3 linked regions of the Saccharomyces cerevisiae S288C genome follow. Changing the gene in region 1 together with any one later gene gives a genetic interaction. Each region holds a gene or a part of one and is shown in the gene's direction. Other genes may lie near its edges. The genes, in order: YGR054W, YBR062C and UGA4.

Evidence for each region.
Region 2: mutations in YGR054W (region 1) and YBR062C are lethal when combined (synthetic lethality), as found in Saccharomyces cerevisiae (one study listed by BioGRID).
Region 3: mutations in YGR054W (region 1) and UGA4 are lethal when combined (synthetic lethality), as found in Saccharomyces cerevisiae (one study listed by BioGRID).

Annotation. Positions count from the first base shown.
Region 1 is NC_001139.9:594,594-598,355, forward strand, and holds the start of YGR054W (translation initiation factor 2A), read left to right. Parts: upstream 1-2,099; coding exon 2,100-3,762. Other genes in the region: protein kinase FMP48, read left to right, coding at 1-112; MCO32 (Mco32p), read right to left, coding at 393-1,244. UniProt on the Saccharomyces cerevisiae protein: Functions in the early steps of protein synthesis of a small number of specific mRNAs. Acts by directing the binding of methionyl-tRNAi to 40S ribosomal subunits.
Region 2 is NC_001134.8:365,349-368,141, reverse strand, and holds YBR062C (uncharacterized protein), read left to right. Parts: upstream 1-1,541; coding exon 1,542-1,557; intron 1,558-1,639; coding exon 1,640-2,166; downstream 2,167-2,793. Other genes in the region: CNM1 (Cnm1p), read left to right, coding at 1-1,172; tRNA methyltransferase TRM7, read left to right, coding at 2,423-2,793.
Region 3 is NC_001136.10:82,485-86,246, forward strand, and holds UGA4 (Uga4p), read left to right. Parts: upstream 1-1,785; coding exon 1,786-3,501; downstream 3,502-3,762. Other genes in the region: active spliceosome conformation promoter CWC2, read right to left, coding at 3,723-3,762. UniProt on the Saccharomyces cerevisiae protein: Required for high-affinity, high-specificity GABA transport. Also transports putrescine.

The DNA of each region.
Region 1 (3,762 bases):
AAATAAGATTGATCTGTTTTGGGAACAGTGGTCTGTGAACACGGAAACAGTACCAGCAAAGTTCCAATTGAAAAATTTTGAGAAACCTTGCCTAATTCAAGATGGAAAATAAGAAGTAAAAAAGACCTTTTGAAAGTTTCGCCTCATTTTCCTTGATCTGACTTTTTATCCCCTGCTTATCCAATTTTAGTTAGGAACTTTGGCATAATTTCAGTATTACATACTACCTAATCGACATAAAATAATATTACATATTCATTTTTTTAAAAAATAATCATAATCAATTTATCCTTTTTATTCCTTTTTTCTCCTGTGCAAGGTTGATGGTGATGTTTATGATGGTGTGTTTATTATTTACAAATAAAGATGCTATCTAATTCTTGTATATCGTATTAACATGCAAATGCACCGCGAGTGGCAATTTTCTTCTCGTAATGGATCAGTTCAACATCTTCAATGGTATGAACCAGAATTTTCGAATTTTCTTCGTTAAATTCGAATATGAATGTTCCCTTAATCAGCCGGGATAATCTCTTTTTTTTACTTCTTTTACCGTCGCCATCATTTTTCTTCTTCTCATCTTCTTTGGAATTTTGAGTTTCGTTGACCTTATTTTCCATTGACCTTTCAGCTGCATTTTCAAGGTACTCAGAGATAACACTTTGGTTCAAATTATTGGCTGTAGGATGTAAAATGTAGTCTATGACTGGTACCGACCTCATTGAAAATGAACCGCCTGCACCATTGCCTCGTTTCTCCTCTTTCAATCTGTCATTAATTTCTAATTTGGTAATCTTGCAATGGTCTTCCGGTATGCAGCTTTGCCATTTGATCACCAATTTGTCATTACATGTTATGGTATTATAACTCTGAAGAGCAGATTTAACTTCTTCATCATGCGATGTCGATGTTAGAGTCTTTACTGAACTTATATGCAAGCGACATTCATCGCCCAAGATAAACTTTCGTACTATCATTCGCATTGCATTCAAAGAAGCCATGTATTTTGATTTTCCATGTAACACTGGAATATATGGATGCGATGTTGGAAATAGTCTAAAAACAACGTTATCCGCCAACACTGACTCCTTGAACATTTTTTGTAACAAATTGGGAACACCTTTAACCACTAAATAATCTGTTATTTGCCCCAAATTGGCCACTTTTTGAGAATTGGAGTACCATCGAGGAAAGATTCCTTTGATAGATATTATGCCGGCTCTGCAAACACACTTTAGTAACATAAGTCTTTCCCCCTATTATCTATGAATATAAACTGTCTATCTTTCCTTGGTTGTGATGTATCGTTTTCCGTAGAGGCTTGCAGCTTTATGGCTCATACCTGTCATCCCTCTTTATGGGCCTTTTAAGGGCGCTCTCTACATTGTATTCTATTCATTTTTTTCGTAACCGTAACTACGCGCCTTCTTAACGCAAGGCGCTCGACTCATCATGAGATGCGTATGAATGTCTTTCAGTGTATAGAAATACATCTCACCAAATCTATTTATTTAACTAATATTTCTTTTAATATTTTCCTCAAGAAACTCAGGCAGTTAATGTTGTGTCCTATTTTTTTTAGTTCTTTCCCATTTTTATAGCACTCGTACAAAAGAAATCGAAATATTTCAATATGTTTAGACTCGGTTCTATGTGTTAAAACTGCAAGATGAAAAAGTAACATCTATCTTAGATTAAGGTCCTTTCTTTATATTCTTTACTTTATTAGTGAGCAGAAATATTATTAAAAATTGCCGCTGTCATACTGTACGATATTATTACCCGACCGCAGAATGTTCCTCAATACTTTCTTTTTCTTCCTTTTTTTCACTTCGCTTTCTTCATGTCCATCAATGAAATTTCAGCTTCATAGCGATTTATTTTCAGTGTACGTTATTCAATGAAGATTCCTTTTCCTCGATCTATCCAGACGACTAGACATAGCGAGAATTCTTTACGGTAGAAGCAACCTATAGATTACCGAATCATAACTTTCTTTAGTGTTGATTGAGACGTGTTGTGTTTAAACTATCCATTGCATCTCGATAAAAAAACATAGTACTACAACAAACAGTCAGGTTCAATAACACCTAAACATTATGTCATCTCAGTTTTTCCTGAAAACCTCTCAGGATATAGAGCTCTTCCAAAGCTACCCAACTTTTGAGCAATCCAACACAAACTCCAAGGATTTCCCTGTCATTTCCTCGGTTTTATCGCCATGTGGCAGATTTTTGGCTTTATCTACGAAGGAGAACGTCAAAGTTTTTACAGGTCCATGTTTGGATAACGTTCTATTAACAATGAAGTTGTCCGACGTCTATGACCTACACTTCTCTCCAGCAGGTAACTACTTAAGCACTTGGGAGAGAGCGTCTATACAAGACCCAAATCACAAGAACGTTAAAGTTTGGTATTTGAATAAACCATTTAAGAAAGATTGCGTTTCGGAGGATATAGTCCCTGCTTACGAATATCAAGCCAAATCCCAAAGCGGTTGGTTTTTACAATTCTCCAAATTAGACAATTATGGGCTAAGACTTTTTAAACACGACTTGAAGATTGTTAAATTAAGCTCCGCTAATGCCGACAATTTCGACTTCCAATCTCCGTTTGCTGTCTTGTCTGATGATGAAACGTCCCAACATTTCACCACCTACCTAATCTCTCCAGCTGAACATCCAACAATTTGTACTTTCACACCAGAAAAGGGTGGTAAACCGGCTCAATTAATCATATGGGCCCTCTCTGAAGGTAAAATCACCAAGAAAATTGCCTCCAAAACTTTCTTTAAAGCTGATTCCTGCCAATTGAAATGGAATCCATTAGGTAATGCTATTTTATGTTTAGCTATTACTGATTTTGATTCCTCAAACAAATCATATTATGGTGAAAACACACTATACTTACTGTCTTTCCAAGGTGTCAACGGGACTTTGGGTGGTAACTCTGTACGTGTTTCTTTAACCACTGGACCTGTCCACGATTTCACTTGGTCGCCAACTTCAAGGCAATTCGGTGTCATCGCTGGTTACATGCCAGCAACCATTTCCTTTTTTGACTTAAGAGGTAATGTTGTCCATTCATTACCTCAACAAGCCAAAAATACCATGCTTTTCTCTCCCTCTGGTCATTACATTCTTATCGCCGGGTTTGGTAATTTACAGGGCTCCGTGGAAATCCTAGATCGTCTCGACAAATTCAAGTGTGTGAGTAAATTTGACGCTACCAACACTTCTGTCTGCAAATGGTCACCGGGTGGAGAATTTATCATGACAGCTACCACTTCACCAAGATTGAGAGTGGATAACGGCGTTAAAATATGGCATGTATCAGGCTCTTTAGTATTTGTTAAAGAGTTCAAGGAGCTTTTGAAGGTAGACTGGAGGTCACCATGTAATTACAAAACTTTGGAAAACAAAGACGAAGCATTTTTCGAGAACCATATCATTAATAACTGGGAACCGCTACCTGATTCGACCACATCTTCACTTGATCCTAAAATATCCAATAAATCAGAATTGCAAATACATTCTAGCGTTCAAGAGTACATAAGTCAACACCCAAGCAGAGAAGCAAGCTCCAATGGAAACGGATCTAAGGCCAAAGCTGGAGGCGCTTATAAACCACCTCACGCAAGAAGAACAGGCGGTGGACGTATTGTCCCCGGAGTTCCTCCTGGTGCAGCAAAGAAGACCATCCCAGGGCTAGTTCCGGGCATGAGTGCCAACAAGGACGCCAACACCAAGAACAGGAGAAGAA
Region 2 (2,793 bases), on another chromosome or scaffold:
GCTCAGACTTTACAATGATAAGAACGGAAATGTTAAATACTACGAAGAGCGAAACAACTATTTTATTTTCCAATATAAAGAGCATTTTGGCCATTATTTGGAAATACTCATTTACATTTTTAAGATCTTTTTCCGATTCCATCAAACTTATTATTGACGATGTTGTCACTATTGGCTCCCGAAATTTTGCAGAGAGATTACAGATTGAAGCGAAAAAAAACAATGACCAAGAAGATATCTGGGCATCCACAATAATTTTGGGTGTGATTATCGGGTATTTAATCTCTTCTATTAAGAGAAAGAACACTTTTCCAATAATGCCTACGAGCTCACCTAAAATAGATGATTGTAGGTTCAAGACTGGTGATACCATATCCATTGTAATAAACTTTAATGAAGACTGCCTCAATAATCGAAGTGACGTTACCGAAGAGAGAAATTATGAGGAATCCACAGTTTTACATTCAAAGGAGTCAGTTCTCAGCATTGGTAGGCAAAATATGGTAACTTTGAACCAAAGCGATGAAAATTTCACCTATGGCAATTTTGATGAGTACGACTTATTAACTAAAGATTATACAACAGAGGTCTTAACGCGATCACCTGGCTCGAATCCCGAGTTTAAAGCAGTGGTAAATAATACATTACTTGATAGCGCGAATGAAACGCCGTTTAAAGGTATTGAAAAAAGTATTAACGAAACAATGGTTAAAGTTCCTATGGGATGCGATGTATCTCTCTCCCATTATGGCAGACAATACGCGCCTGGAAATATTTCAATTATGAGAAGCTTCACTGCTCGAGATAATACTAAATCTGTGAGTAGAGAAATTCGTGATATCTGTAAATCGTTTTTGATTATAAAAAGCCAATTTGGTGACGAACTTTTCCTGACTATGTTCATGGAAAAACCAGTTTTCTTTGATAACAACATCCCAATTGAAATAACTGGAGCATACCGAGAAAAACGAGAGCGATTAGATGAAGTGATTCATAAGGATCTTATCCGCTATGATGAAGTTCAAAATTTGACAAGGATTCGCAATTTGCTCCGGGTTAAAAGTCAAAAGATTTGTTCCAGGAGACATAATAGTTCGGTTCCCACAAAAAAATTGTTAGTTAATGATAAAGGCGCAACTTCGATTCTACTGTGGTACTCTAACTATTCATAGATAAAGTTTATTTGATACATAATCCGGAAAATGTAAGATATGCCAACTGTTAACTAGAAAACATCTGTACTCTATATATCGGAAACAAAAACTTTACGGGTACAACCATGATGAATAAGCTCGAAATTTTTGCCTTCCATATGAGTCCCATTTTGGTGACCAACTCTCCTACCCGAATTACTGTGATGATATATACTCTTCGTTTTCTAGTAATGGCTTCATTTTGCCTAAGTTGGTCAAAATTGTTGTGGGCGGCTTTTGTTTGCACCGAGGAGCGCTCAGTTCGTTATAATACCAGTTTTGCCACTCCTAAACTACTAAAGAAATAATAGAAAGATATATTCATCAAACATAATCACAATCAAAAAAATGTCTACATATGAAGGTATGTAATGATATATTATGAAGTAAGTTCCCCAAAGCCAATTAACTAACCGAATTTTAATCTGCACTCATCATTAGATTAGAGGAACATGGAATACAACAAAACTCAAGGGATTACCAAGAAGTAGGAGGAACTTCACAGGAGGAGCAGAGAAGACAGGTCAGATCCCAACTGCAAGGTCTATTTCAAAACTTTGGTAACACCAGTGGTGAGGGTGATGCACATTCAGATTCAACACTACTTTTACGATTATTATCGCAAATGCTTCCAGAATCATTACAGGAAGAATGGTTGCAAGAAATGGATAAAGGCAAGAGTGCGGGCTGTCCTGATACTTTTGCAGCCTCTTTACCACGAATCAATAAAAAAAAGCTCAAAGCAACTGACAACTGCTCCATTTGTTACACTAATTATTTAGAAGATGAGTACCCCTTAGTAGTTGAATTACCTCATTGCCATCATAAGTTCGACTTAGAGTGTTTGTCTGTCTGGCTATCTCGAAGTACAACATGTCCATTATGCAGAGATAATGTTATGGGCCACCGAATCATTAATGAGATTGATACAACTGAAGCAGAACTGGAAGAAGATTGGGGTATGTACGGTTAATATCTTTCTTTTATATTATATAAAGACACCAAACCTAAGTAGAATAGGTAACTACGTCTTCTTTCACAGAAGACAGACCTACAAGTATTTTGATTATCATGATGAAGTAAAAGCAACGATAAACTTTTTACTAGGTATTATTATTCTGCGCTAACAATAATTATCGCGAGTTGAAAATTTTCAAGCGATGCTCCTAACATTACTGTAAAACAACAGTAGATGAGTACAAGGCAAGCTTAAAAAGAAAGTATTCAAGATGGGTAAGAGCAGCAAAGATAAAAGAGATTTGTACTATAGAAAAGCAAAAGAGCAGGGCTATAGGGCTAGATCTGCTTTCAAACTACTTCAACTCAATGACCAATTTCATTTCCTGGATGATCCAAACTTAAAAAGAGTTGTAGATTTGTGTGCAGCACCAGGTTCATGGTCACAAGTGCTCTCGAGAAAACTGTTTGATGAAAGTCCCAGTTCAGATAAGGAGGACAGGAAAATTGTCTCTGTCGATTTACAACCGATGTCCCCCATACCTCATGTGACAACGTTGCAAGCCGATATCACTCATCCTAAAACATTGGCGAGGATTCTAAAACTGTTTGGCAACGAAAAGGCCGATTTTGTTTGTAGTGA
Region 3 (3,762 bases), on another chromosome or scaffold:
GCGGTGGAGCCCAGGTACGTATTAATTTTGAATGGCGCAAATCTACTAAGTACGGTATCATTTTGATGTCGGAATACGGATAGTCAGTCCATAACTGCACCACCAATATTTTTCTTGCCGTTCTCATTTCCTGCACAGTTTCTTTGATTATGTTTGCAGAAGAATTTCTTTATCGTTTAGTCTAAACAAAGAATTCGTTGTAAAGAATTTGAGAGCGGATCTTGCATTTTTTATTTATCATGCTTATGTTTTTTCTTTGATGTAAGAAGAAGCAAGTAAGATATGTGAATATCTTATCACTAATTCAAATAACTAAGAGAGCTCACAACGACAATTTGTGACAGCATGCGAAGCAAAGAGCAGTGATACCAGTATCTTTCATCCAGTAATAACATACGACTGATGTTATAGTTAAATGTTACATTTTGAGAGACTTCAACCTCTCGAAACCAAGAGGTTGGTTTTAACTCTGGTGACTTCAAGAAGGGTGGGTACCTTTTACAAAGCTTGAGACGAAGCAATAGTCAGTCTCTGTATAACAAGGAGACCACCTCATTTTCCAGTAACTCTTGAGGCATGTCGGATGGTTTGCCTTGAATAAACCGCAGTCATTATAATGAATGGCCTGTACTTTCAAAACAGTCTGGAAACAGAAATCCATTGCTGAGGTACCTTTTAGTAGCACTTTCGTTAGTGAAGGTTTAAGGTTAGTTCTTATTTACTGCACAAGAGTTTACATTTAACCACTCTAATAGTAACTGTTAGAGTGGTTTAACTGTTAGGTGATCTGTTCATTCCATTTTTCGTGTTGTATCTCAAGATGAGATAGCTTAGCGTTGCTACATACATAAATCTAAACATATAAACACCTGTGTAACTCGTTAACGTCTGGGCTTCCATGCTTCTACCATTTAGAATGATGTAGACCATTTATTCCAAGAGGATAAGCACCCTCTGTGATTCAAAATGATAATAAGTGTTGACGACAAGTTACTCTCGCAGAATTGTTGTCAACAGTCTTGTATTAGTTGTTATCCAACGCTCCCGTTTTCAAGTTCACTTAGCGCAAGTGGTTTAGTGGTAAAATCCAACGTTGCCATCGTTGGGCCCCCGGTTCGATTCCGGGCTTGCGCAAGTTTAATTTTTTTTCTTTTTCCACATTGTTTTCCACTTTGCACTCATTTCCAGTGTTTATTGTGAATGACAATTTCTTCAATCATTGAAATGATTGATTTTTTGGGATCTATTTTTCTCTTTAGTGGTTACTGATCAGGCAACTCTATATCATTGTTTAACCGCGGCTTGCGTATCTTATTTTCTTTTTCCTAGGCATCTTACTAAGGTACTCTTATCGCTAATCGCTTATCGCTTATCGTGCGCCAAAAACCGCCGGCGGCAATTTCGAGATGTTTTATGTCATGTTGGATTTTGCAATCTATTACCATGGAGGTGAGGGCCTTCGATGGTCCAATACCGGTGCACGTACCCATGTACGTTTATCGAATAAGGGGAGAACCTACTAATTTTAAGTCGGATAACGCGGCTTGGCACAGTAATCAGTTCCTTCTTTGGGTTAGAATCTTGATGTGAGATTGTGCTCAGTGATAATGATAGCGAATACGGCTTACTCTTGAATAACAAATGCATATATATTAAGAAGTAGTTCAAACGTATTCTGTTGACTGGCATGGTCCTTTCCTTCTTGTTGTGATTATATAAAACAGTATAAGCTGTTTACTTCAGTTGTGAAGTGTAACAAGGTCTTATAATTTATTATTACTAACAATGAGTATGTCAAGCAAAAACGAGAATAAGATATCAGTAGAACAAAGAATATCCACTGATATCGGTCAGGCTTACCAGTTACAAGGCCTTGGGTCTAACCTAAGGTCGATTCGCTCCAAGACTGGTGCCGGTGAAGTGAACTATATCGATGCTGCTAAATCTGTAAATGATAACCAACTGCTTGCAGAGATCGGTTATAAACAAGAATTAAAAAGACAATTTTCAACATTACAAGTTTTCGGTATTGCGTTCTCCATTATGGGTCTATTGCCCTCCATTGCATCTGTGATGGGTGGTGGGCTCGGTGGTGGTCCAGCAACATTAGTGTGGGGTTGGTTCGTTGCTGCGTTTTTCATTTTACTGGTGGGTATTACCATGGCTGAACATGCAAGTTCCATTCCTACCGCTGGTGGTTTGTACTACTGGACGTATTACTATGCTCCAGAAGGTTATAAAGAGATTATTTCTTTTATTATTGGTTGCTCAAACTCCCTAGCGTTGGCAGCCGGTGTGTGTTCCATTGATTACGGTTTGGCTGAGGAAATTGCTGCTGCTGTCACATTAACCAAAGATGGAAATTTTGAAGTAACGAGTGGGAAACTTTACGGTATATTTGCTGGAGCAGTGGTGGTTATGTGTATTTGTACATGTGTTGCTTCTGGGGCCATTGCTCGTCTGCAGACGCTAAGTATATTTGCCAATCTTTTCATTATTGTTTTATTGTTCATTGCGCTACCGATTGGTACCAAGCATAGAATGGGAGGTTTCAATGATGGTGACTTTATATTTGGGAAATATGAAAACTTAAGTGACTGGAATAATGGTTGGCAATTTTGTCTTGCTGGTTTCATGCCTGCTGTCTGGACTATTGGTTCCTTTGATTCATGTGTCCATCAATCTGAAGAAGCCAAAGATGCCAAGAAATCAGTCCCCATTGGTATAATCTCATCTATTGCTGTTTGTTGGATTTTAGGTTGGTTGATTATTATTTGTTTAATGGCCTGTATCAACCCTGATATTGACAGCGTTTTGGACTCCAAGTACGGCTTTGCTTTGGCTCAAATAATTTATGATTCGTTAGGAAAAAAATGGGCCATTGCATTTATGTCATTGATCGCATTCTGTCAATTTCTAATGGGTGCTTCCATTACCACAGCTGTTTCTAGACAAGTTTGGGCATTTTCCCGTGATAACGGTTTGCCCCTATCAAAGTATATTAAAAGAGTGGATTCTAAATACTCGGTCCCTTTTTTCGCTATTTTGGCTGCCTGTGTAGGTTCCTTGATTTTAGGATTGTTATGTTTGATTGATGATGCCGCCACTGATGCATTATTTAGTCTGGCTGTTGCAGGAAACAATTTGGCATGGAGTACCCCTACAGTTTTCCGTTTAACATCAGGTAGAGATTTATTTAGACCTGGTCCATTTTATTTGGGTAAAATCTGGTCTCCAATTGTTGCTTGGACAGGTGTTGCTTTCCAATTGTTCATTATTATTTTGGTTATGTTCCCCTCTCAACAACATGGTATTACTAAATCCACAATGAATTATGCATGCGTTATTGGTCCCGGTATCTGGATCCTTGCAGGTATCTACTACAAAGTTTACAAGAAGAAATACTACCACGGTCCAGCAACCAATTTGTCGGATGATGATTATACTGAAGCCGTTGGTGCTGATGTTATCGACACAATTATGTCCAAACAGGAACCATAAATGTTCAAACCTTTATAAAGATTTTATATTCAGAGTTTATAAGGTCTAGCTTATATAGTCAGTATTTTTAATTTAATTATATTATAGTTTATCCTATCTCACCGTTTTAGCTTGTTTTCTGCGCCCAAACATAAAAATCAAGAAGCGCGGATAATTTATGATCAGCTCAGCGGGAATGTTAATGGCAGATACTTAGAATTTGGTGGAAACGATTTTCTTCTCTAATCCTCATCAGAGGAGAGGTAATCGAGCAAGGGACCA